Xenopus tropicalis: one gene and its partners. The main gene of each other region encodes a partner of the protein of the gene in region 4 in a complex. Links are inferred from orthologs where the notes say so. Each region holds a gene or a part of one and is shown on either strand. Other genes may lie near its edges.

Region 1 (4,207 bases), on a different chromosome or scaffold from region 4:
CACAAAATACGTATAGGATAAATCACATGAAAGAGAAACTGAAGACTAAAGGTGGCCATACACTGTAAGATTCACTGGTTTGGCAAGGTCACCAAAAGAGCGGATCTTCTTCCAATTACCCACCTTAGGTGGGCAATATTGGGCCAATTAGACAGTGCCGTCGGACCGAGGACCGCATCGGCTTGTTCATCCAATGGAAAAATCAAACCTGTCGGAATCTGCACAATTTTAGGCCAGATGTCAGTTGGCTAGGCTTGTCGGGGGTTCCCATACACGGGCAGATAAGCTGCCCCTAAGGCCTTAAGGACCTGAATCGGCAGCTGAAATCTGCCTGTGTTGTGCCGCCTTAATGCCTTCTGTAGAATGGATTGTCTTACCATAGACATGTTTGCCAAACGCCCAGGAGTCTGTACCAAGCGAGGTGATCGCCCTACAGTGCCCAGTATTGCCGAAACATCTGGTGGCCTTGAAGAATTCCAGGTTTGTGGCGTCACTAGGTAAAGGTGAAAAGTACATTTACATACCAGAAAGCAAAAAAAAAAAAAAAAGACTTTCACAGCATAAATACTATGTTCAGTATTACTTTTTTCTTATATCCAAACTGTAATAAACTGCAGCTCTGACAAAATCCTTAAGCCATATTTTGAAAAGAGAGATGAGCTTTCCATAGATAAGGGTTGTTTACTGTGGGGGATACGGGTTGTCATTCCCCCAAAATATCGTCAGAGGCTCTTGCATGAACTTCACGAAGGCCATCCAGGTGTAAACAGGATGAAAGCACGAGCTCGTGTTACAGAAGCACAAGCAGTACACTGACTTACAAAAAATTCTATATCTTGATCCAGGCCTGGCCACCACAGGTAACCACAAGCTTGTGCTTTCATCCTGTTTACACCTGGATGGCCTTCGTGAAGTTCATGCAAGAGCCTCTGACGATATTTTAGGGGGAATGACAACCCGTATCCCCCACAGTAAACAACCTTGATCTATGGAAAGCTCATCTCTCTTTTCAAGATATGGCTTAAGGATTTTGTCAGAGCTGTAGTTCGAGAGACCCTCTCTCAGCATTATAAATCTCATCCTCGCCCCCACTGTAATAAACTGCTGGCTAGCAGTGGGTTAATACTGCGGCTGTGTTAGTTCAGGTAAAGTAGTCAGATACACACTGGAACTTTTGGTATATTTATTAGAACATGGCAGGTAGATTTGGCCTGCTCTCAGCTTAACAGGAAGCACAAGACAGGAATAGGAATATCATCATCAAGAAATGGCAAAACAGCAAGAATGCCCTTAACCAAAATGTCTACACAAGCAGGTTACTATACAAACTCATCTGAATTTTATAATAACCATGACTGAATGCTGATATTTGTAAAACACAAGTCAGTGGGACAGTTTCTACAAGATGAATCAAACAAGCCCATGATTATCAACTGCAGACCCAGTTTATATATAAACATCTTACTGTGCTGTCGAAATAGTGTTTGTCCTGTTGTGCGAGATAATGGGCCTCTTGCTGGTGTTGCATTGCTCCAGCTCTCATCAGCTAGGCAAGACGTTAAGTGTGGCAACAAAAGCTTTTTCTGGAATCAGTTCAATATTTCCTCTCTAAACAGTACCAGGGAAACAAGCAAGCACCGGGAAAATATTAGCCGACTTTCCAGCTTAAAGTAACTAATCATTATTGTTGTTTGCGTTTCTTATTACACTGTAATTGCATTGCCCATGCATAGCCTCAGAACAAAAAAAGAACAAAAAAGTGCAATACTGGTTCTGTTGCATTCATGTAAGGCAAAAAGTCAGGGAGTCATGACGGGGAATGCCTAAGAGACAGGGTTAACCATGTTATTTGCTTTAGAGACATGTAGGATAATGTAATAAAGGCTTAAGTTTGGTCACACATATTAACCCATAGCAGTAAGTGCTACATGCTGATTGGCTCCTATGGATTACAAGACAAGACGCATTTATTAAATTAACCCATCAAAGACAATAAAAGGCCTATTACTGTGTTTTTGGTGCAGGTACTGCTATCAAACATCTGTGGTCCATAAACAGCCTGTTAATATTAATAAAAACCCACCCAACCTACTCCTACGATGGGTTATTTCCTTAATTAGAGTAATACTCAGACACTGCAAACTTAAATATACTATCACATTTAATCAACACAGATTTAAAAATGAAGCCTTAACCATTTAAAACAAAGGGGACTCAATAAAGGAGGGGCCCTTCCATTGATTTTAGAAAAAAATGACATGCAAAACATAAACACTAATCACAAAGAAATTATAGTAATAGATAAATGACAACCAAAAATTTCTGTTAACTTCCAATGTCATTTTTGTTTGATCAAAAGCCTTCCCGTTTGATATTATTGGGGACACCAGTGATTTGTGATGATAGTTCACATTACAAAAGGATACCAGGATTCCTCCTGTTGGAGCTTTGGCGGCGAGCTGCTCTAGAAACCTCTGCCTCCCGCACTACCGGCGAAAGCATATCCATGCTGGTCCTGCTGCAAGAGAGCACAACACGGGGTCAGTCCTTCCTATGTTCGATGTGTATTCTGTGAGAAAGTCCCGCTATGATGCACACAAGGTTGCAAACATGTAACAGAAAAGTCTAGCAGACCGATACATACAGGCTAGAGGGAGAACAGTCCTTCAGTCTACTCAATAGAACGGGACTAAAACTTCTGTGAATAAGCCAGAAGTACCGAAAGCTGCAGAGAGAGAACATGTAGGTACCGTAAGCTCCCGCCCTCCCATTCAAAGTGTGCAGCGTACTGACAGCAGGGACCCTGACTAACCCCTAACTGAATACTACCCAACAGTCCCGCTTGTCGATCCCGATTTTCGTAACACAGCCAGCAGCCGCAGATTGCTACTTACACCTTTGCTACTTACTCCTCCCGTAAAGCTGTTAATTGCAAGCTCCTAGCCTCCTGTCTTACAGAAAATCCCGACTCCACATGTCTCCTCACGCGAGACTGTGACGTACAACTACACGCAAGCGTCGTGACGCATCACGTAGCCGCCTTATGGGAGTGACGAGCAGAGACAGTGCGCTACCCAGTAAGGCGGCGTTACACAATTGGTAGCTGCTAATAAGTAGCTTGGATTTGTTCTGCTCGCACTTCCTACTTTTGTTGGAGAACAAAAAGGGAAAAAAAAGACTCTTCTTAGGAGGTGATTGCTCTCCTCCACCTCGAATCTCAATATTTCCTCCAAGTCAATTATCTTTTCTGCTCAGAGATCCTTGTCATTGCCAGGGAGCTAAAAAAGAGTTTCCTGGTTGCTAACGGTACCGGCTGCCGTCAGAACCTTTTCTCCCAGTCTGACCAAAAAGGGAAGAGTTATTGTGAAAACTAGGGCCAAGTGAAATGAGGTCATGTTTTTAGGGGTTTTTTTGTACTTTGAGGGTTCTGGTGGTTTTGTGCAAACTAAGGGCTGATTTAGTAGAAGACTTAGAGGCAGGCCAAGCTTTAAGCTGGCGATTGATGAGACTAATAACCTTATAAACTAATAACCCAAAGGCTGCAAAATCTACGTTAAAGGCTGAATCGGTAGATTGGATACCTCCATATCTGACAATTCAGCTTTGAATGAAAGTGGTCGCAGGAAATAGCATAATTGCATAATTGTATTGCCACCTTTAGGCAACCTGGCCGACCACCTCACCCCCGCTGCAACCCCATCTGTGAATGAATGCACGTGGACATTGTGAAGGGGGGGAAGTGCTGCGCGCAAGGTGTGCAGACTTTGTGGGGGTGGAGCATCAGGGGCAGGGGGTAAGAGATCCCAGACCAGGAGTTGGCAAAAGCAGTACCTGTAGCATTCATGTGTAGGGGATCAGAGAACTCGATTGGCTGGATGTCCCAGTGCAGTCTGGGAGGAGGTGTGCTTAAGTTTGGAGCCAAAAATCAAGGGGCGGGTCCAGCAGTTGATAAAGGGAGCCCCTGTTGTTTTGCTGGTTTTTTTGGGAAGAGAGATACAGAGTGAGCAGCCAGTACCACTTGTTGTTAGTTCAGATTGAAAAGAGAAGAGTCTGCAGGGTTGCCAGTGATTACAAAGTCCTCTGTGGAATCAGTGTGTGTCCCCTGGTGAGAACAGTTATTGCTTGCTTGCCTGCTACGTGGGAGCAGCAACCTTTCCATAGGGGAAGGTACTCTGGGGCAGGTAGTGCTACCTGAGGGGAACTCTTG
Region 2 (3,500 bases), on a different chromosome or scaffold from region 4:
CAGCTTATTGTGTGCCCAGAACATTCCCTCTCTGTATATTTGTATTTATACATATGGGTAGGGGGTGCCATAGTGTTTCCCTTAGACAGTACAGTATGGGGGTACAGCTTATTGTGTGCCCAGAACATTCCTTCTCTGTATATTTGTATTTATACATATGGGAGGGAGGTGCCATAGTGTTTCCCTTAGACAGTACAGTATGGGGGTACAGCTTATTGTGTGCCCAGAACATTCCTTCTCTGTATATTTGTATTTATACATATGGGTAGGGGGTGCCATAGTGTTTCCCTTAGACAGTACAGTATGGGGGTACAGCTTATTGTGTGCCCAGAACATTCCTTCTCTGTATATTTGTATTTATACATATGGGTAGGAGGTGCCATAGTGTTTCCCTTAGACAGTACAGTATGGGGGTACAGCTTATTGTGTGCCCAGAACATTCCTTCTCTGTATATTTGTATTTATACATATGGGTAGGGGGTGCCATAGTGTTTCCCTTAGACAGTACAGTATGGGGGTACAGCTTATTGTGTGCCCAGAACATTCCTTCTCTGTATATTTGTATTTATACATATGGGTAGGAGGTGCCATAGTGTTTCCCTTAGACAGTACAGTATGGGGGTACAGCTTATTGTGTGCCCAGAACATTCCTTCTCTGTATATTTGTATTTATACATATGGGAGGGAGGTGCCATAGTGTTTCCCTTAGACAGTACAGTATGGGGGGGGGGGGTACAGCTTATTGTGTGCCCAGAACATTCCCTCTCTGTATATTTGTATTTATACATATGGGTAGGGGGTGCCATAGTGTTTCCCTTAGACAGTACAGTATGGGGGTACAGCTTATTGTGTGCCCAGAACATTCCTTCTCTGTATATTTGTATTTATACATATGGGAGGGAGGTGCCATAGTGTTTCCCTTAGACAGTACAGTATGGGGGTACAGCTTATTGTGTGCCCAGAACATTCCTTCTCTGTATATTTGTATTTATACATATGGGTAGGGGGTGCCATAGTGTTTCCCTTAGACAGTACAGTATGGGGGTACAGCTTATTGTGTGCCCAGAACATTCCTTCTCTGTATATTTGTATTTATACATATGGGAGGGAGGTGCCATAGTGTTTCCCTTAGACAGTACAGTATGGGGGGGGGGGTACAGCTTATTGTGTGCCCAGAACATTCCTTCTCTGTATATTTGTATTTATACATATGGGTAGGGGGTGCCATAGTGTTTCCGTTAGACAGTACAGTATGGGGGTACAGCTTATTGTGTGCCCAGAACATTCCTTCTCTGTATATTTGTATTTATACATATGGGTAGGAGGTGCCATAGTGTTTCCCTTAGACAGTACAGTATGGGGGTACAGCTTATTGTGTGCCCAGAACATTCCTTCTCTGTATATTTGTATTTATACATATGGGTAGGGGGTGCCATAGTGTTTCCGTTAGACAGTACAGTATGGGGGTACAGCTTATTGTGTGCCCAGAACATTCCTTCTCTGTATATTTGTATTTATACATATGGGTAGGGGGTGCCATAGTGTTTCCCTTAGACAGTACAGTATGGGGGTACAGCTTATTGTGTGCCCAGAACATTTCTTCTCTGTATATTTGTATTTATACATATGGGTAGGGGGTGCCATAGTGTTTCCCTTAGACAGTACAGTATGGGGGTACAGCTTATTGTGTGCCCAGAACATTCCTTCTCTGTATATTTGTATTTATACATATGGGTAGGGGGTGCCATAGTGTTTCCCTTAGACAGTACAGTATGGGGGTACAGCTTATTGTGTGCCCAGAACATTCCCTCTCTGTATATTTGTATTTATACATATGGGTAGGGGGTGCCATAGTGTTTCCGTTAGACAGTACAGTATGGGGGTACAGCTTATTGTGTGCCCAGAACATTCCCTCTCTGTATATTTGTATTTATACATATGGGTAGGGGGTGCCATAGTGTTTCCGTTAGACAGTACAGTATGGGGGTACATTCCTTTGCGATAATCCAAGATTTGACATTGGCTTTAACCAGGTGGAACTGAATGAGATCGAGTCTCGGTGTGAGGAGTACCCCCTGACCAGAGCATTCTGCCAGCTCATTAGCACTTTAGTGGAGAGCTCCTTCCCCACCAATCTGGGAGCGGGTTTGAGAGCACCCGGCTTTGAGCCATACCTCCAGTTTCTACGGGACACTGTGTTCCTTCGGTTCCGCACTAGAGCCTACAGGAGAGGCGCAGAAAAGGTAATTAATGATATTTATGCTTACGTGCATTCTGGGGTTTGGGTATTACTGGGATACCACCTTGAACCCATGTATTTTCCTCACTTATGTATTTATGCCTCTGTGTTTGCAGTGGGAGGTAGCAGAGGCTGTACTGGATGTCTTCTACAAGCTTTTGAAGGACTATGAGCCCCAGCCTGAAGACTTTGTGGACCAGTATGTGGAACTCCAAGGTATGTTTTGCCTTTTCAGCCGGTTTATAGAATTGACAATAAAAAGGCAACATCATTTTACCGTTCATGTCCTGTTTTAGGAGAAGAAAGAGTTGCTTTCAAGCCCCCGGGGTTCAGCCTCATGCATCACCTTCTCAATGATTCTCCGATGCTGGAGCTCTGCCTCAGCCTCATGGAAGAGGGGGTCACCCAGCTGGACACTTACGCCCCTTTTCCAGGTAATCGTCCAGTCTTTTACACTAAAACAGAACTTTGAGCTTTTGCCTTTAGACAGAACATAAGTACAACCTATTAAATATATGTATTCCTTCTTTCCCAGGCAAGAAACACCTAGAGAAAGCAGTGGCTTATTGTTTCATGCTCCTCAATCAGACTCTGCAGAAGGAGAATCGCTTCATGGATTTGTTGAGGGAAAGTCACCTGTCGTTGATTGTGACCCCTCTGGAGCAGCTCCTGCAGGGAATTAACCCACGATCCAAGAAAGCTGATAATGTCATCAATATTGCTCGGTGAGTGGGTCCTAAAGGTGGCCATACACGTAAAGGTCCGCTCGCCTGGCAAGGGATCTTCTCGCGATATCCCCACCTACGGGTGGGCAATATCGGGGGAATTTAGGCTAAATCGGTCGTTTTGCCCTGGGACCAAACGATCGAATTATAACAACTGTAATGGGTGCAGTCGGTTCGGGGACCGCACCAACGAGCTGATGCGGTCCCCGATCCGACTGGATTTTTTAACCTGCCCGATCAATATCTGGCCGATTTCAGGCCAGATATCGGTCGGGCAGACCTGTCGTTATTGCCCCTACACAGGCTGATAAGCTGCCGAATCGGTCCAAGGGACACTTATCAGCAGCTACAATCGGCCCGTGTATGGCCAATTAAGACTGCAGTCTGACAACATGGAAGGCTAGATGTCGCCCACCTCTTTGGTCATTAATGCACACCCATTATCTCTAGTTCACGCCTTTTACATGCATCAGTTACATGCCTTCCTGATCTTACTGAGTGCTTCTCTGTATCCTTCAGATATCTCTACCATGGGA
Region 3 (3,500 bases), on a different chromosome or scaffold from region 4:
GTTGTACATTATGTTTTGGCCTTCTGTACCAGCCCAAGGCGACCACAGCCTTTTAGTAGGGAAGATCAGTGCCTCCAAAGATGCCCAGTAGCTTCCCATCTTCTTTTTTGCTGATTCACTGCACATTCTCTGTGCTGCTTTCAGTTAGGGACCGGCTCAAAATATATTACATAAATAAAAATATAAATTTAACAGTAAAAGGCTGATCTGAAACCAGGGCAATTGCATCTAATTGAAAAATTAGCCCTGTAGCATCAGCTTCTATGACAAACCTAATTTTCTGCTTGAAAATTTGCAGCAACCCCTAAACTTTTCAACTGCTGCTCAGAGCACACTGAGCATGTGCACTGTCCCAGACAGATCTAACAGAATCCAAGATGAGGAGCTCCTGTAAAGACCTATGTCATTACTACTACAGAGATGCTGAAATTTTAAAGCCAGTGCAGTCAGTTTATTATATAAAGTATGGCATTTCTAGCCATATTAATTTTTAGGGTTTAGTTTTCCTTTAATACGCTGAACCTTTCTGCTAGTTCTAAAACATGGCTTGACATTTCGGACCTCCAGAAGTAATTGGATTTCATCTGCATATAAAGCTACCTTTTCATCCAATCTCCTACACTTGAGCCCGATGATATTAGGGGACTGGTGGACCATTATGGCATAGGTTATCGAGGAAATAAAAAATGATACCTATACCTAATTTTTCAAATACTTTCCATAAATATGACTATTTGACCAAGTTAAATGCTTTGGTGGCATCCAGAGATGCCAGAACTCTGAAGCTGGAATTGTGGCGATCAATTTGAAGGTATATATATAACCTTCTCAAGTTGATGGCATTGCTTTTACTGGGCATAAAGCCTGTTTGGAAGTGCATTGTAATAGTATACTCTATATGCTCTGTTTTGCAGATCTCCTGTGACAATGGATGGAGAAGGGTTTGGAGAGCTTCTGCAGCAGGCTGAGCAGCTTGCTGCAGAAACAGAAGGAGTTACTGAACTACCTCATGTAGAGAGGAACCTACAGGAGATCCAGCAGGCTGGTGAGAGGTTGCGCTCCAAAACCATGACTCGCACTTCTCAGGAGTCAGCCAATGTGAAAGCGTAAGTACCAGTTATTTTTGATTAAGGACTGTCACATGGTATTTTGATAACTTATAACTTTGCTAAAGAAGCTTGGGTTTCATCCCATAAGGCCAGTTATTTTTGGATGATGATCGCAATACAGGCAAACTTTGGAAAAAAATTCTGATCATGGTAATTGAAAGATCTACTACAGGCATTTTGAGCACAGCTTCAAGTAGCAATTACTAAACAACCCTTTTAATAAATGCTGCATGAATAAATGTGGTGTTTTTTTCCTAGGAGCAACATTACAGAGGAATACTAGGTTGTAAAGTGGTTGCTTTACACATGGCACCGATGATGTTTATGAGGAAAGGTGCTGAGAAAGGGCTTTCAGGTTTTGGATGTGAACAGTAGTGACTATAAGGTTGTGGAGTGAAATCTTAGTACAGTGGAGGGCAGTGTAGCAAAATATATTCTTTTGCATAGGTTGGTGGGCACAGGCAACCATTGAGATAAAGACCCTGCAGACTTTAAACAATGACTCCTGCTCAGGGCCTGACCAAGTTGGGGCTGGTGGATTTTTGTGAAGCGCTAGTCTGATTTAATTCATTGGGGGTGCCTAACTTATTGCCAATTTATTAGCCTTTCATTTTATGGTAAGTACAAAACTCCCTTTTTCAGAACATTCTATATATTACTTAAATGTTGGACAGTATATAGTAATAAATATACCGCTTTTTTATAATTATTAAAGGTCTGTTCTGCTGGGATCAAGAGGTCTTGACATCTCTCACATTTCCCAGAGGCTTGAGAGTCTTAGTGCAGCCACAACATTCGAGCCTTTGGAACCTGTTAAAGACACGGATATCCAGGTAAAGGGGCCTTATCTACTTTAAATGGTAGAGAAAATGGTGAGGAATGTCCATTTAGTCTTAAAAAGACAAGTTAAATAAATAGAATGGTTGTGCAACCTTAAAGAACATGTGAAGGCTACATTTGCCTACAATGTATATCAGTTGGGCACATCCCCCTCACCCATTTGTACTGCATATATCCCCTGTGCTTGCCAGCACCATCACATTTTCCTAAACCAAATAGCAGCTTTCACCCGGTGGCCATTTTTCGTCTGATTACAGGCTCAAGAATACAGGCATACACACAGGCACAACTGTCTTTGATAAAAGTTCTGCTTTGTTTGAGCTGAGTTCAGGAGAGTTGGTTGGGAGAAAAAAAATTGAAGCAGACAGCTAGAGCTGAGTTTCTATGGGAACCAGCAATGCCATCTCTTCGCTGGCTGCTAGACTGGGGGGCATGTTTAGTAATCTGAGCTTAGAACAACTGAGCATGCCCACAAGCCAAAGCAAATTCTTGAGGGAGGGGGCTGAGTGGGTTACAGGAGGAGAACAAATCTAAGTAATTAAGGGAATGTTGCAGCCTTACTATTAACCCCTGGACAACCAGTGTGGCAGGTATTGAAAGATTTTAAAGAGGCTGTTCACTAATTACATTTTTGTGTGTGGGGTTTACATGTCCTTAAATCTGCTAATAGCCGGGATAGGCAAATTTTGGGTAAATGACATGTTTTGTCAAAGAAATTTTAGGGGTTAACTAACTTAACAGTGGATATATGTATTTATATATGTGTGTATATATACAGTATATATTTACTGTTTTGCTAAATTTAGACTAGAAAACAATTACATTTGGTATGTGCAAAATTTTAGTGGTGCTGCATCCTACAGTGCAGTATTAAAGGGTTGGTTTACCTTTAAGTCAACGATCCCCAACCTTTTATACCTGTGAGCCACATTCAAATGGAAAAAGTGTGGGGGAGCAACACAAGCATGAGAAAGATTCCTGGGGGTGACAGTAAGAGCTATCATTGGCTATGTAGCCCCTATGTGCACTGGGAGCCTACAGAAGGCCCTGTTTGGCATTATACTTGGTGAACATGTTCACTAGCCACTGCTTGGGGAGCACTGCGCTTTGAGTTAACAATTAGTATGTTATAGAAAGGCTAATTCTAAGCAGCTTTTCAGTTGTTACTTATTTTACCTTTTGAATGATTTGCCTTGTACTTTTGACTCTTTCATGGGGTTAATGACCCCAGTATTTAAAAAACTTGCTTTGCGCGGCTACAATTTAATTATTATTGCTACTTTTTATTATTTTTGTTTTTATTCAGGCTTCTCCTATTCATATTCTAAGCTCTCATTCAAATCACTGCCTGGTTGCTAGAGTAATTTGGACCCTAGCCAGATAGCTGTCAAAAATCCAAACTGGAGAGCTGGTGAATAGAAAGCTAAAATAACTTATAAAACACAAATAATATAAAATGAAAACCAGTTACAAATTGTCTCAGAATATCCCTCTTTACAACAAAAGTTAATTTAATGGTAAACAACACCTTTAACTGAACAATATGATCTT
Region 4 (3,500 bases):
GAACATCATAGAAGGAGACAAAAGTTCCCTGTTCAGCAGAAGTCATACAGACGGATAGTGTCAGATTGTCAGAGCTCAGGGCCAAATGGTGAATGGGACAACTCATAGGCACGTGTATACCTTGGGGTCCCATAACTGCAGAGGAAAGTAACAGAAAACAATATTAAAATGCAGCAATATAGTAGTTAAAAGTTTTTCTTTAAAAAAAAAAAAAAAAAAGTGTCCAAATGTTGATTGGGTTCAAACTTTGCTTAGTGTTTATAAATTTAGCAACTTTTTGAGCTCATTCAGTTGCAAGAAACCTAAACTTCCAAATGCCATCCCACCGGCAACAATGTAAATCGCCGATGGGATGGCATCCTGAAGTTGTGTTGAGAGGAAAAATCAGGAAATTGTAGCAACGCGTATGCCATGCCACCGGCGATTTACATTCTTGGCGGTGGGATGGCATTGCGGGCAGATTAGTCGCCCGCGGCTACGAAGATTTGTGGTAGGGCGACTGATCTCCCTGTCTGGTACTGCCATTGTGGGTGCCGTACAGATTACCTGGAGAGCAAAGGGACTTTAATTGGGAAATGGTTCGTATGAGTCAAAGACAGGCTATTATGGTTTCCATTCAGTCTGTGGAACCAGGTACAGTATGTCTATGTAAAATCTGGCGCACCTCCCTACCTCTTGGCACATAGGTGCACATGGGTGGACATGGGTGGACATGGGAGCTGTGATGTCATTTTGGCACCAAATTGAAATTTAAAAAAAGGTCCTTCCACCTTGTATTCCATACCAAAGCTAGCTCGGTATCCCTACAGTCCTGCCTAACCCTTTAATTCCTATTTGCTGTGTCCTGTCTCCTAGCCTGGTTTTGACCATGATTCTGCCTGACACTCTTCTGAACCATGTTTCTGGATCAAACTCCAGGTACTACAGGTTCCTCCCACACTCCAAAATATACTGGCAGGTTATAGAAACCAACTACATTAAAGTCATCCCCATTCCATTTGGAAATATTAACCTTAAAAGCAAGCAGGTTGCAGGTAAAAGCCCCTGTGTAAAATGTATAAATGAAGCAGAAGAATTCATATTGATTCAAATGAAAGTGAGGACTGGCCAGACCAGGGTTGGCCAGCTTGAAGTATATTGTAATATGTCGCCAAACAATCCCTGTTTTGTTTAAAGGGGAAGGCATGTCTTGGTAGCTTAATGCAGAGAATGTCTTAGGGCTCTGGCACACGGGGAGATTTGTCGCCTCGCGAGGCATTTTTCGGCGATTTGCCGAAATCGCGCCGCGTGTGCCATCCCACCGGCGACTTACATGTTCGCCGGTGGGATGGCAACTCAAGGAGATTAGTCGCCCGCGAACAGGAAGATTTGTCGCGGGCGACTAATCTCCCCGTGTGCCACAGCCTGTATATTTTGATAATGGGTGAGTGCAGAGGATCTCTTGCTGCTGTCTTTAGCAGGCAGGTTTATTGGCTCCTGATACCCCAAGTGTAAATTTCATTGGGCAGGGACTAATGGGAATGATGTGTCAATTTCTGTAAAGTGCTACTGGATATGTTGGTTTTATATCAGGGGAGGCCAATATGTCGATTGCGGTCCACCAGTCGATCCCCCGTGGATTTCTGGTGGACCGAGATCAAGCCGGGGATGCGGAAATGCTCTGTGAATGCAAACGTACGCTCGCACGCCGCACTTCCGCATCGGTGCAGTTGATCGAGACTGGATCGAGTCTGGCCAACCCTGCTCTATATGAATAAAACAATAATAAAAGTCATTAAAGTTCCTGGCAGAAGATTTATATGAACCCAACTTTGTGTGGATGAAATGCCAATTTTATAACAAACACATGTAACACTGACCATCTTTTGATGATATTATACAGACATCAAATTACCAATTTTATTTGCATCTTCCCCGGGTCTGACTGCTACAAGAACATCCTTTGTGTGGAAAAACTTTAATCCCATAGGGCCTCCCACGAACAGAAAACCATACTTGTTCGAGATCACAAGCAGGTTGGAGCGTTCCTTGGGAAGATCTACTGGAGAGTCAAACAGTCGGATCTTTTTTAGCTGTCGGAACTGGAAATCCTGTAAGGACAAAAAGATACAAAATTTTAGTAAAAGTATGGGATCCCTTATCCGGAAACCCGTTATCCAGAAAGCTCCGAATTACGGAAGCCCGTCTCCCATAGACTCCATTTTAATCAAATAATTCAGAATTTTAAAATGAATTACCTTTTTCTCTGTAATAATAAAACTGTACACCTTGTAATTGATCCCAACTAAGATATAATTACCCCTTATTGGGGGCAGAACAGCCCTATTGGGTTTATTTAATGGTTAAATGATTCCCTTTTCTCTGTAATAATAAAACAGTACCTGTACTTGGTCCCAACTAAGATATAATTACCCCTTATTGGGGCAGAACAGCCCTATTGGGTTTATTTCATGGTTAAATGATTCCCTTTTCTCTGTAATAATAAAACAGTACCTGTACTTGATCCCAACTAAGATATAATTACCCCTTATTGGGGGCAGAACAGCCCTATTGGGTTTATTTAATGGTTAAATGATTCCCTTTTCTCTGTAATAATAAAACAGTACCTGTACTTGATCCCAACTAAGATATAATTACCCCTTATTGGGGGCAAAACAGCCCTATTGGGTTTATTTAATGGTTAAATGATTCCCTTTTCTCTGTAATAATAAAACAGTACCTGTACTTGATCCCAACTAAGATATAATTACCCCTTATTGGGGCAGAACAGCCCTATTGGGTTTATTTCATGGTTAAATGATTCCCTTTTCTCTGTAATAATAAAACAGTACCTGTAATTGATCTCAACTAAGATATAATTACCCCTTATTGGGGCAGAACAGCCCTATTGGGTTTATTTAATGGTTAAATGATTCCCTTTTCTCTGTAATAATAAAACAGTACCTGTACTTGATCCCAACTAAGATATAATTACCCCTTATTGGGGCAGAACAGCCCTATTGGGTTTATTTAATGGTTAAATGATTCCCTTTTCTCTGTAATAATAAAACAGTACCTGTACTTGATCCCAACTAAGATATAGATAATCCTAATTGCATGCAAAACAACCCTATTGGGTTTATTATTATTATTAACATTTATTTATAAAGCGCCAACATATCCCGCAGCGCTGTACAATAAGTGGGTTACATACATTGGACATACAGAGTAACATATAAAGCAACCAATAACCGATACAAGAGGTGAAGAGAGAACTGCCCAAAAGAGCTTACAATCTACTGTTTTATTGATTTTTTAGTAGACTTAAGGTATAGAGATCCAAATTATGAAAGACCCCTTATCCGGAATACCCTTGGTCCCAAGCATTCTGGATAACGGGTCCTATACCTGTACCTAAAAGATCCGGAGAAGATCACCTTGTTTGGAAAGGTCACCAAATAAGTGGATCTTTCCCAGATATGCCCACCTTGGACCAACAACTGGATCACATTGACAGGGTA
Region 5 (4,183 bases), on a different chromosome or scaffold from region 4:
TTCACTGGGTGGGAATCTGGCTTGTGGCTGTTAAAAGTGATGCATAACTTAGGGTATGTTGCAGTCATGTTTTCCCACTTACCAACTTCATTAAAATCATCAAATGTAATTTTGCCTGTTGTTTCACCATCATAGTCTTTAAGGATTTTTAGGACATCTGCTTTTTTTACATCAAATCCCAGAGCTCGCATTGCTACCTGTAAATAAAATACATGATTATGTATGAAAAAACTCACCCTACTATCACCCTTGCAGGCCGTGTATTTTATTTATTATAAACAAGACCCTTGGTGCTGGCTGTGTTTTATTCTATATATATCTATCTATATATATATATATATATATATATATATATATATATATATATATATATATATATATTTATTACAAAAAAAAAAAAAAGACACCAGCAACACGGAAATTTGTTTAAACCACAAGACCCTTGGTGCTGGCTGTGTTTTATTCTATATATATCTATATATATATATATATATTTATTACAAAAAAAAAAAAAAAAAAAAGACACCAGCAACACGGAAACTGAAATGTACTGTTATATTTGTAATCCCTACTGATAACATCCCCAGCCTGCACCAACCACCTCTCCCCGCTTCCCCTGTATCCCCCAACCACTCTATAAACCTGCCTACTCCTACTCACCCAATCACTGCTTGATCCACCACCTCTGCATCACAACTTGCCCCTTTTTTACATCACAGCTCCTTAAGCCCTCAGACATCATCATGCTGCCACTTTTCCGTCTCGGCTGGTATTGCCCAAGAGAAAAGTTGGCAACCCTATCCCGTTTCCATACAATCAACCATTAACAGAGAGTCAGGCCATTTTAAGTATCATTTAAGGGCTGTGACACACGGGAAACTTCGGCGACATCGGCAAATCGCGCCGCCACGTATGCCATCCCATCGGCAATTTACATTCTAGTCGGTGGGATGGCATTTCGGGGAGATTAGTCGCCCGCGACAAGGAAGATTAATCTCCCCGTGTGTCACAGCCCTAAAACTCATCTTGTCATCAAATTTATAATCTAACCTGCAAACCACTTGGATCCCTAGCTGACACTGTAAAGCAATTACCCACAGCCAGATAAACAGAGAACCTCTACACCCAAACATGCCACCCCCACCTAATGACTCCCTCCTTTAAAGCCCCATGGCATGGATTCAGCTTGGCAGAACACTAAGAACACCAAGTCCAAATCTTGGAAAAAGTTTTATTACCTTTAATTCATGATAATCTATTGCTTTATCTTTGTCTGTATCGAATAATTCAAATGCATCTTTTATTTCCTGTTTCTGTTCTTCTGTTAATTCTCTTCTTTTCTTCTTTTTCGTTTTGTCAACTGCTAGATCAGTCCTGCGAGAGACGTGAGTTACTAACATAAAACATACAAAGCACATAACACTGAAACTGAATTTTCCTGTTACTCTGGCCTGGTGGTGGTTGCACTGTTTAACACTTTGTGTGCTGTGCCCTTTTGATCTTCCTGTTGCCATTAAACACACAGTGCAGCATATTTCAAAACAAATAACAGGCTGTTGCTGCTAGCGCAGTATGTGGCTTTTCAAGTATTACAGAACTACAACCCCCAAGTAGTTACAACTCCTCATCTAGTTAGCTGACATTTCTAAACACTTGGAATACAAGTGGGACAGATGTACTGTGTTCCAACCTGGGAATCTGTTCTAATCTGGGATACAACTAGATATACAAAGTGTTTATATTCAAGGATCTGCACACCTGTAGTAAATACCTGGAATGGTGGTTTTTAGCCTTATTTAGTTTACCTAAATAAGGAATAAGCATTGTACCTAAATCGCACCCTAATTCATATAAACTATTCCTGGCCCATAATTTAGGATAATGTACATTTTTACAGATGAGCCCAAAAATGATTTGTTCACTAGTGAAACACCAACATAAAATCCCAGAGTTGTCTCTAGTGAAAGATCCCTGTCCCCCGGCATAAGTCAGCTGTGATGATGGAACAGAACAGAAACATACAAGAAATGAGAGCATTTCCATATGCAGCTTGCCATACACGTAATGACTTGCCTGTGTGGTCAGGGCAACATTTGCATGGATCCTCCCTTAGTTCAGCCACCCACACAGAGAGCCAAATAGCCAAATGTACCCGTTTACGGTTTTGCATCCAGTCAGGGGCCAACCAGTTACTGTCTTTTTAAGAAAAGCCAAACTGCTCATGTATTGGCACACTTATTCACTCTATGGGCCAATAAAAGTGTATGGAATCCAGTGTAACATCTGTACCAGTTCTGTCTCTGCCGGCCCCCACTCTGATACACACTAATATATATATAATCACTTTATATTTCACTTTCACATTACAAAGGCATTTACACAGACAAGATAAGTTCTGACACAAAGTGCACCAATAAATAGCCCCCTGCTAAGGGAGACTGATGGGTAACAGTTTCAGGGGAAAGGAACACATACATGAGGCTCAGAGCACAAAAGGTAAGTCAAATGGCAAAGGACCTATTTGGCGTTACACTTGTAATTGTTAGTGTATTAATAAAGAATATCCAATCTGCAGCTCGCCAGCTGTTGTTTAACTGCAACTAACCCCATCACCATGTGGCGCTGAGAGTTTCAGTATAACAAAAGCTGGAAGTAGCACAGATAGGACACTGCTATTTTATATAAACCTAACTCTATAGGGGTCCCAGCCTTCCAGCGCTGTGAACCCCCTTTCCTTTGTGCTTCCAATGCACCCACCTCACAGCCAAGCTCATCGCTCCTCCGCTACAGACGCACAGCGCTGCCACACTCCCTCGGTCAGCCGGGGCTGCTGTCCCACTTACAGGCCTAGGCGCCACCTCGTAAACACAAGGCAGCGCCTCCGATTGGCTACCGTTACAACTTCTCCCCTAGCAACGGGATCAGCCTGGCACTAACAGCGCCTTGTGATTGGAGAGCAGTGAGGCGCTTGGGGGAGGTGCCGGAAAAATGAGCTGGTTACTAGGCAGTGACGTAACAAGGCGCTTGGAGTGTGACAAGGAGCGGGAAGCTCAAACTCATGCACAGTGCGAGAGAAATGCAAGCGGCCCCGTAACGCTTGAATAGTACACCTCCCGGCATGCTTCACTACCTTACAGCGAGCTAAAGCATGAAGGGAGCTGCCACCTAACCCACATATCAGGGCTGAATTTTAAAGTAAAAATGATAGAAATATATTTTGATAGTAACCCCATTCCTGTGTAAATCTGGTAACATACTTAGTTTGGATGATTTACTCATACCTTTTAGCAGCAATTCATGCTCCCTAATAGCTTCCACGTTTTTTTATTTTAATTGTGTGGTTGCCAGTTAGTGTAAACTATTCCCTAAAAATGAATATGGCTAGAAATGCCATATTTTATATAAAAAACTGACTGGACTGGCTTAAGGCTAATTTGGAGAGTAGTAGTCAGCACTAAGCCTTGTGATTAGTTAGAAGTAGTGCAGGTTCCCCAATGGCCACTTTCCATCGGCATATCCTGGTACAGAAGAACAGGAACAGCACCTCTTGTCTTTGTAAATTAAAATGCCTTTATTGCAAAGTTTTTTGGGGCAAACAACAACAGCAGCAACGTTTCAGGTCACATAAGACCTAAAGGTTGCTGCTGTTGTTCTTTGCCCCAAAAAACTTTGCAATAAAGGCATTTTAATTTACAAAGACAAGAGGTGCTGTTCCTGTTCTTCTGTACCTGGCTTAAGGCTAATGTCAGACCAGGCCGAATGAATAGAATACGCTCGGGTGCAGGCACATGTAGCCGATACCCATATAAAAACGCAAGAGAATGCAAAGTCTTGCACACGGGCGTATTACATACATTCGGATGCAGGCACAGGTAGTAGGTGTATGGCGGCATTTACGGCATTTTCAGGTTGCCAAAAATATACACCATACGCCTTGTCTGACATTAGCCAAAAGTTTCAGCATCTCTATAGTAGTAATAATATAGGTCTTTACAGTTGTCACAGGAGCTCCCCATTTTGGATTCTGTTAGAACTGTCGGGGGCAGTGCACATGTTCGGTGAGCTCTGAGAGGCAGTTGAGAAGCTGAGCTTAGGGGTCATTGCAAATTATCAAGCAGAAAATGACATATGTCTGTCATATAAGTGGATTCAACAGGGTTAATTATTCAGTTCTGATGCAGTT
Region 6 (3,500 bases), on a different chromosome or scaffold from region 4:
CAGACTCAGGCACACTTTACTGCTGTGCTGCAAGTTGGAGTGATATCCCCCACCTCACCCCCAGCAGCCGATCAGCAGAACAATGGGAAGGGAGCAAGATAGCAGCTCCCAGTAGGTATCAGAATAGCACTCAATAGTAAGAAATCCAAGTCCGGCTTGGGACTCCTCCAGTTACATGGGAGTAGGAGAAACAATAGGTTAGCTGAAAGCAGTTCTAATGTGTAGCGCTGGCTGAAAGCTCAGACTCAGGCACACTTTACTGCTGTGCTGCAAGTTGGAGTGATATCCCCCACCTCACCCCCAGCAGCCGATCAGCAGAACAATGGGAAGGGAGCAAGATAGCAGCTCCCAGTAGGTATCAGAATAGCACTCAATAGTAAGAAATCCAAGTCCGGCTTGGGACTCCCCCAGTTACATGGGAGTAGGAGAAACAATAGGTTAGCTGAAAGCAGTTCTAATGTGTAGCGCTGGCTACAGTAAAACACAAAGCCCCTATAAAGGATACAGTAGATTAATTGCATAGTTTGGGGCCTGACATGTTGCCAGTCCCGTTCCCCACAGGGCATTTGGCTTTCTGGGTATGTGTAGCAGTGAGCCCAGTTAGTAGGGTTTGTGGGGTTACAGTGTGAGTAAGAGATGTCTCGTTGCTCTTTGTAGTCTCACAGAGTCGCCCTTTAAAGTTCACGTGGAGAAGCTGAGCCTGGAGCAGAAGACCAAAGACCTGCAGTCCTACTTGCTGCCGCTGGAGATAGAGCTGAAGAACAGCACCGTGGACAAATCCGGCCCATGCCCCCACTTCAGGCCCAACCCAGGAGTCACTGCCATTCACGACTATGCCGGCTGGGTCAGGAACTTCTCCAGTGAAGCCGCAGAGGTTGAAGGTGAGTTAAGAACAACGTGGGCCCTTCCCTAGTGTCCCCGCCCACTAGTGCAGTGCCCGCCCCTTCTGTTATCCCAGCGCAGTCACCGTTGGTTTCTCCCTTACACAGCGGTGGTGAAACAGTGGGGCTTGACATGGACCTTGTGTGAGTCCCTGTGGGGCCAACTGAAGGAGCTGGAGGCCAGTCTCGATGAGCCAAACGAGTACGTGAAGAACCTTGAGAGGCGGAAGGCTTTCTCCCACTGGCTGGCACAGACGGCCCAGGAGCGGATAGAGGAAGAGGTGTCTCTGTACGGCCCAGAGCGGCACATCGAAGCGGTGTTTAGCTACCTTACCGGGGGCAGGATCAGCGACGCGTGCCGCCTGGCACAGAAATCTGGTGAGTGTGACCCCTTTCTCCCAGGGAATCGCCCGGTTTTGCCTCTGGAAATAGTTCCTTAGGCCTGAAACTGCAGGAAAAAGCAATATATTTACATGTGATGTATATGGATTCAGGGCATTTCTAATAGATATATCTCTGTGATATATAGGATATTTTATATCTAATCTCTATCTATCCAGTAGATCTCCCATCTATCTATATATCTGTATAATAGAGCCTTCCCTCACCAGTAGTAGAACCTGGTGCCGATAGTGTCCCTCAGACTCTAGCAAAGCAGATGGGGCCCTGGAGTGAGCAGTGTGAGTGCCGTATTTCTGACCCAGGCTATTCCTACCCCTGCAGGGGATCACAGGCTGTCCCTCCTGCTCTCTCAGATGGTGGGCAGCCAGGAAGTGCGGGATCTCATAACCCTACAGTTGGTCGACTGGAACAAGCTGCAGGTGGATCACTACATCCAAGAAGAGCGGTTGCGCGTGTTCTGCCTGCTCTCGGGCACCCCGGTAAGTCATTATTTGGCTAATTACGTCTTATGTATTGGTCTCATTATGTTGGAAAACCATTGGCATATACAGGATCCTTCTAATGGGGCCCTCTGATTGGCTCCTGTGTGTATTTACGGCTTGCTCTCACTGTTGTTCCTGTGTGCCCCTAGGTGTGGCGCTCTTCAGATAACAGAAGCATCAATGTCTGCTCTCAGTTGGACTGGAAGCGAACGCTGGGCATTCATCTGTGGTACATGCTCCCACCCACCGCCACCGTGGCACAGGCCTTACACATGTACGAGCAGGCCTTTCAGGTAAGGAGTCTGCCTCCTAATGGGGCAAATCCAGTACTGCAGCCGTCTAATGGGGCAGCACCGATTGCACCCAAGTTAATGGGATGAATTTGTACTAAATCCTGCTTTTCTCTCTGTAACATTGGCAGGAACAGGAGGGCGGGGAGCCTTACGCCTGCTACCCTCTGCCCCCCTATTTGGAAGACTGCGGCTTCAGCTTTGGGGATGACCCTTCTGCTAAATTCTGCTCCCTGCAAAGAGACGTCTGTGTCCATTTGCTGAAACTGTACAGTGAGAGGTAAGCGAGGCCTTTACACACATGTTATGCCTGCAATTATGCATGATTTAGTGTCTATAAGCTCAGTCCCAGACTGCAGGCAGTATCTTGGTGCTTGTCTGTATACTGTACAGCACTGCCAGATGCCCTGTAGGGGGCGCAGTCTGTAACTGGGTACCTGAGAGGCAGTGTCTGTGCTGAGCTGGGAGTATCCTGTGTTGGCCTTTCCCAGTCCCTTAGGGCTGATTGGTGCTTATAGTAAATGAAGGTGCCCATACATGGGCAGATCGGGTCCTTCAGACCCATTTGGCAACTTATGTGCTCATGTATGGGCACCACAGATGGGTCTACCCAATAGATATCTGGTCTAAAATTGGCCAGATATTGATTGGCATGGGGGCCCCCACTACTCGTTGATGCAGTCCCTGATCCAACAGCGCCTATGCCCGCCTTTGTTACTCGATCATTTGTCCCTTGGGCCAAACAATCAAATTAGCCCAGTATTGCCCAATGTAGGGTGGTACTTACCATCTATGGCCGCCTATAAGGAATGAAATGGTTGTATTGCAGTGATTCTATTGGCTCCTGGATTCACTTGGAGTTGTGTGTGTTTTTGCCCAGGCAGTATGATCTTTGCCAGCTGCTAGACCCCAGCAGTGCCACCCCCGACCCCCTGGACTACAGGCTCAGCTGGCACATGTGGATGGTCCTGCAGGCTCTGAATTATACCCATCTGTCTGGGCATCGCCAGGGGATGCTGCACGCCAGTTACGCTGCCCAGCTGGAGAATGTGGGGCTCTGGGAATGGGCCATATTCGTACTGCTGCACATCCAGGATCCGCAGTAAGTGATTGGCCGCTTGTGTCTGGGCGCCAGTCTGGCCCCCTCTGTAGAACCCCCGGCAGCTGGAACTGAACCCTCTTTCTCCTTCTGCCCGTGCAGCGTCCGTGAAGCAGCCGTCCGGGAGTTGCTGAATAGGCACTGCGTTGTGCACGACAGCCCCGAGTCCCTGGCCAAAGAGAACTTCCTAATTCAGAGACTCTGCCTCCCAGCACAATGGATCCACAAAGCGAAAGCGGTCCGCTCCCGGCGGGATGGGGACAAGCATAAAGAGGCCTTGTATTTACTCAAGAGCCACCAGTGGAACCAGTGCCACAAACTGGTGACCCGCCACTTGGCCGCAGGT
Region 7 (3,958 bases), on a different chromosome or scaffold from region 4:
ATTAAAGTAACATAAAATTCAAATTAATTTCACATTTTTTTTACACAATATGTCATACTAGATAAAAAAATCTAGTACAACTTGTGCCACATTAAAGTCGGCATATGTTTTTGGACTTATTTAACTCCATTTTGTTGGAGTTGATAATGCAAATTAAGAAAGATGGATTAGACTGGTGAAATTTCGGAGAAGAGGGAAAAAATAGCATTCAGACAACTGTGAATTTACCATTCAGTTCTGTTGTAAATAAATATTTGACTCAAATTTCATCTTAATATCAATTTTATGAAATCCCTCCCTGGGCAGGCTATTGGTCAGAATGGTGGTGCAGTTCTAGCCTGCAGGATATTCCTTAATGGGCCTCAGTGTGGATTTTAGGAGCTCCCTTTACTGTAACTTCAGTCCCGGAAATACGACAACCTTAGCTGTAGGCGAAAATAAACACTTAGATTGTAAGCTCTACGGGGCAGGGACCTCCTTCCCACTGTGTCTCATACCACATGGCACTTATATATATATATATTTACAGTATACAGGGAGGAGCACACCCTATACAAGTCCAAATGCCCTTGGTGCAGGTCAAAAAACAAAAATATAATAGAAAGAGTGCCGCACACACAGGGACTTGATACAAAAGAAAAAGTGGTTTTATTGAAAAAATTCCAACGTTTCGAGCACAATCTGTGCTCTTCCTCAGGGACAAACCTGGTTTGTCCCTGAGGAAGAGCACAGATTGTGCTCGAAACGTTGGAATTTTTTCAATAAAACCACTTTTTCTTTTGTATCAAGTCCCTATGTGTGCGGCACTCTTTCTATTATATATATATTTACTGTATTTATTTATTATATCACTTGTCCTCCCTGTGTGTAATTTTGTATTCTGTAAGATTGTACAGCGCTGCGTACCCTTGTGGCGCTTTATAAATAAAGTTATACATAAATACATACATACTTTATTGATAATACAGCTTCTACTTGTTCTCAAGGTTACAGATAATATCACAGAGGCTCAGAAATAACTAAAGCTAACAGTAAAGCTCCATGGATATTACTGAGAATATTATATTTTCCACACTGTATCTGGCTATGCATTCTCTACTGTAAGCCGAAAGAGTTTTCAACACCAGAGAGCCAAGAAAAAATGTTTCCTGACTACTTTTGCCAGTATGAAACATGGCCGCGGCCGAAAGTCACATGACATCTTTTCAAGCAGAAGATTGGGCGGGAAGTAATATTCTTCCCATGGTGCAGCGCGCTGGCGGCTCCACACGGGGAATCATGGCGGCCTCTGTGAATCTAGAGAGAAGTTACATGGAATTGATTGGTGCCGAGCGGGAAACGTCAAGGAGGAATTTCAGGGATTTGAGTCTGCGCCCAGGTGCTGTATTGGTTGGCAGGGCTGCGGGCACTGGTCTGTCGCTTGGCTCTGGGGGGCGGTGGAGAGACCAGGGCCCACATGGTTCTATAGACTGACAGGAGTGGGGCAGGTCTGAGGCACTTTTCCTGCAATGGCCATCAGCACATGCGTCCCACTAATATATTGGCTACTCATTTACACTCATTTAGAAACTCTGGACGTTTTTGCGCCACTGTCTTAACACATAGTGTAGCTTTTATACTGCCTGACGCAAACTAGAAACTGAAATGCCTGGTTGCTATGGGTTACTGCACTGCTTATAGTAAATGAGCCCCAGTGTGTCTCTTGACGTGTAGGAACTGCCATACTTGGTGTCACTCTTAATTTACTGTCAGGGGTTGGATAGTGCCATGTGTATATACGTGTGTGTGTGTGTGTGTGTGTATATATATATATTATACAGGGAGGAGCGCACCCTATACAAGTCCAAATGCCCTTGGTGCAGGTCAAAAAACAAAATTATAATAGAAAGAGTGCCGCACACACAGGGACTTGATACAAAAGAAAAAGTGGTTTTATTGAAAAAATTCCAACGTTTCGAGCACAATCTGTGCTCTTCCTCAGAGCTGGTTTGTCCCTGAGGAAGAGCACAGATTGTGCTCAAAACGTTGGAATTTTTTCAATAAAACCACTTTTTCTTTTGTATCAAGTCCCTATGTGTGCGGCCCTCTTTCTATTATATATATAACTTTAGTAATGTAACAAAATATTATATATATATATATATATATATATATATATATATATATATATATATATATATATATATATATATATATATATATATACACAGTGGTGTGAAAAACTATTTGCCCCCTTCCTGATTTCTTATTCTTGTGCATGTTTGTCACACAAAATGTTTCTGATCATCAAACACATTTAACTATTAGTCAAAGATAACACAAGTAAACACAAAATGCAGTTTTTAAATGAGGGTTTTTATTATTTAGGGAGAAAAAAAATCCAAACCTACATGGCCCTGTGTGAAAAATAATTGCCCCTGAACCTAATAACTGGTTGGGCCACCCTTAGCAGCAATAACTGCAATCAAGCGTTTGCGATAACTTGCAACGAGTCTTTTACAGCGCTCTGGAGGAATTTTGGCCCACTCATCTTTGCAGAATTGTTGTAATTCAGCTTTATTTGAGGGTTTTCTAGCATGAACCGTCTTTTTAAGGTCATGCCACAACATCTCAATAGGATTCAGGTCAGGACTTTGACTAGGCCACTCCAAAGTCTTCATTTTGTTTTTCTTCAGCCATTCAGAGGTGGATTTGCTGGTGTGTTTTGGGTCATTGTCCTGCTGCAGCACCCAAGATCGCTTCAGCTTGAGTTGACGAACAGATGGCCGGACATTCTCCTTCAGGATTTTTTGGTAGACAGTAGAATTCATGGTTCCATCTATCACAGCAAGCCTTCCAGGTCCTGAAGCAGCAAAACAACCCCAGACCATCACACTACCACCACCATATTTTACTGTTGGTATGATGTTCTTTTTCTGAAATGCTGTGTTACTTTTACGCCAGATGTAACGGGACACGCACCTTCCAAAAAGTTCAACTTTTGTCTCGTCGGTCCACAAGGTATTTTCCCAAAAGTCTTGGCAATCATTGAGATGTTTTTTAGCAAAATTGAGACGAGCCATAATGTTCTTTTTGCTTAAAAGTGGTTTGCGCCTTGGAAATCTGCCATGCAGGCCGTTTTTGCCCAGTCTCTTTCTTATGGTGGAGTCGTGAACACTGACCTTAATTGAGGCAAGTGAGGCCTGCAGTTCTTTAGATGTTGTCCTGGGGTCTTTTGTGGCCTCTCGGATGAGTTGTCTCTGCGCTCTTGGGGTAATTTTGGTCGGCCAGCCACTCCTGGGAAGGTTCACCACTGTTCCATGTTTTTGCCATTTGTGGATAATGGCTCTCACTGTGGTTCGCTGGAGTCCCAAAGCTTTAGAAATGGCTTTATAACCTTTACCAGACTGATAGATCTCAATTACTTTTGTTCTCATTTGTTCCTGAATTTCTTTGGATCTTGGCATGATGTCTAGCTTTTGAGGTGCTTTTGGTCTACTTCTCTGTGTCAGGTAGCTCCTATTTAAAGCGGACCTGTCACCCTAAGAAATAAGTCCAAATTATTTTTTATATTGTTAGTTGAGCAAAATAAACTTTACTTACTCTATATAAATAATATAAATCTTGTTTCCTTCCGTCTTGGAATTACTCAGTCAAAGCAAGCAGGCAGGCACCATTTTGTGGACACTGTTATTAAGGCAAGCTTTGTATCACCCCAAAATATTGTGTATGTGCCAGAATGGGGGACCTGATGCCCAGGCCCATGCACTGGCTACACAATTAGATGAGAAGGAGGGGGGGGGAAGTGAGATGTGCAGTCTAGGAAGTGCTGAATGGAAAGCTAAAGTTATTGTCTGCCCCGCCTCTATGCCTAAGGCATAGAGGTGGGGCAAGCAATATATGATTGACAGCTGTGATTTTTAAATGCCTTTATAATGGGTTTGGATGTGTTAATATAAAAATGAATTTGGGTTTCATG

The links.
Region 1: nup214 (region 4) and nup107 share a complex: the UniProt entries of both Homo sapiens proteins name them as parts of the nuclear pore complex. The link is inferred for Xenopus tropicalis from reciprocal best matches to the Homo sapiens genes NUP214 and NUP107.
Region 2: nup214 (region 4) and nup205 share a complex: the UniProt entries of both Homo sapiens proteins name them as parts of the nuclear pore complex. The link is inferred for Xenopus tropicalis from reciprocal best matches to the Homo sapiens genes NUP214 and NUP205.
Region 3: nup214 (region 4) and nup93 share a complex: the UniProt entries of both Homo sapiens proteins name them as parts of the nuclear pore complex. The link is inferred for Xenopus tropicalis from reciprocal best matches to the Homo sapiens genes NUP214 and NUP93.
Region 5: nup214 (region 4) and cetn3 share a complex: the UniProt entries of both Homo sapiens proteins name them as parts of the nuclear pore complex. The link is inferred for Xenopus tropicalis from reciprocal best matches to the Homo sapiens genes NUP214 and CETN3.
Region 6: nup214 (region 4) and nup98 share a complex: the UniProt entries of both Homo sapiens proteins name them as parts of the nuclear pore complex. The link is inferred for Xenopus tropicalis from reciprocal best matches to the Homo sapiens genes NUP214 and NUP98.
Region 7: nup214 (region 4) and nup160 share a complex: the UniProt entries of both Homo sapiens proteins name them as parts of the nuclear pore complex. The link is inferred for Xenopus tropicalis from reciprocal best matches to the Homo sapiens genes NUP214 and NUP160.

Annotation. Positions count from the first base shown.
Region 1 is NC_030679.2:58,822,426-58,826,632, reverse strand, and holds the start of nup107 (nuclear pore complex protein Nup107), read right to left. Parts: upstream 2,801-4,207; 5' UTR 2,743-2,800; coding exon 2,645-2,742; intron 2,519-2,644; coding exon 2,427-2,518; intron 1,547-2,426; coding exon 1,466-1,546; intron 494-1,465; coding exon 378-493; intron 1-377. UniProt on the Homo sapiens protein: Plays a role in the nuclear pore complex (NPC) assembly and/or maintenance. Required for the assembly of peripheral proteins into the NPC. May anchor NUP62 to the NPC. Involved in nephrogenesis.
Region 2 is NC_030679.2:6,637,403-6,640,902, reverse strand, and holds part of nup205 (nuclear pore complex protein Nup205), read left to right. Parts: intron 1-2,033; coding exon 2,034-2,243; intron 2,244-2,355; coding exon 2,356-2,455; intron 2,456-2,535; coding exon 2,536-2,673; intron 2,674-2,774; coding exon 2,775-2,964; intron 2,965-3,483; coding exon 3,484-3,500. UniProt on the Homo sapiens protein: Plays a role in the nuclear pore complex (NPC) assembly and/or maintenance. May anchor NUP62 and other nucleoporins, but not NUP153 and TPR, to the NPC.
Region 3 is NC_030680.2:43,618,648-43,622,147, forward strand, and holds part of nup93 (nuclear pore complex protein Nup93), read left to right. Parts: intron 1-914; 5' UTR 915-927; coding exon 928-1,106; intron 1,107-1,824; coding exon 1,825-1,942; intron 1,943-3,500. UniProt on the Homo sapiens protein: Plays a role in the nuclear pore complex (NPC) assembly and/or maintenance. May anchor nucleoporins, but not NUP153 and TPR, to the NPC. During renal development, regulates podocyte migration and proliferation through SMAD4 signaling.
Region 4 is NC_030684.2:12,406,364-12,409,863, forward strand, and holds part of nup214 (nuclear pore complex protein Nup214), read right to left. Parts: intron 2,091-3,500; coding exon 1,895-2,090; intron 136-1,894; coding exon 1-135. UniProt on the Homo sapiens protein: Part of the nuclear pore complex. Has a critical role in nucleocytoplasmic transport.
Region 5 is NC_030677.2:178,970,906-178,975,088, reverse strand, and holds the start of cetn3 (centrin-3), read right to left. Parts: upstream 2,801-4,183; 5' UTR 2,775-2,800; coding exon 2,758-2,774; intron 1,375-2,757; coding exon 1,239-1,374; intron 198-1,238; coding exon 83-197; intron 1-82. UniProt on the Homo sapiens protein: Plays a fundamental role in microtubule-organizing center structure and function. As a component of the TREX-2 complex, involved in the export of mRNAs to the cytoplasm through the nuclear pores.
Region 6 is NC_030678.2:177,435,280-177,438,779, reverse strand, and holds part of nup98 (nuclear pore complex protein Nup98-Nup96), read left to right. Parts: intron 1-657; coding exon 658-881; intron 882-989; coding exon 990-1,259; intron 1,260-1,604; coding exon 1,605-1,762; intron 1,763-1,914; coding exon 1,915-2,058; intron 2,059-2,186; coding exon 2,187-2,335; intron 2,336-2,935; coding exon 2,936-3,157; intron 3,158-3,256; coding exon 3,257-3,498; intron 3,499-3,500. UniProt on the Homo sapiens protein: Plays a role in the nuclear pore complex (NPC) assembly and/or maintenance. NUP98 and NUP96 are involved in the bidirectional transport across the NPC. May anchor NUP153 and TPR to the NPC.
Region 7 is NC_030680.2:15,976,507-15,980,464, forward strand, and holds the start of nup160 (nuclear pore complex protein Nup160), read left to right. Parts: upstream 1-1,158; 5' UTR 1,159-1,173; coding exon 1,174-1,378; intron 1,379-3,958. UniProt on the Homo sapiens protein: Functions as a component of the nuclear pore complex (NPC). Involved in poly(A)+ RNA transport.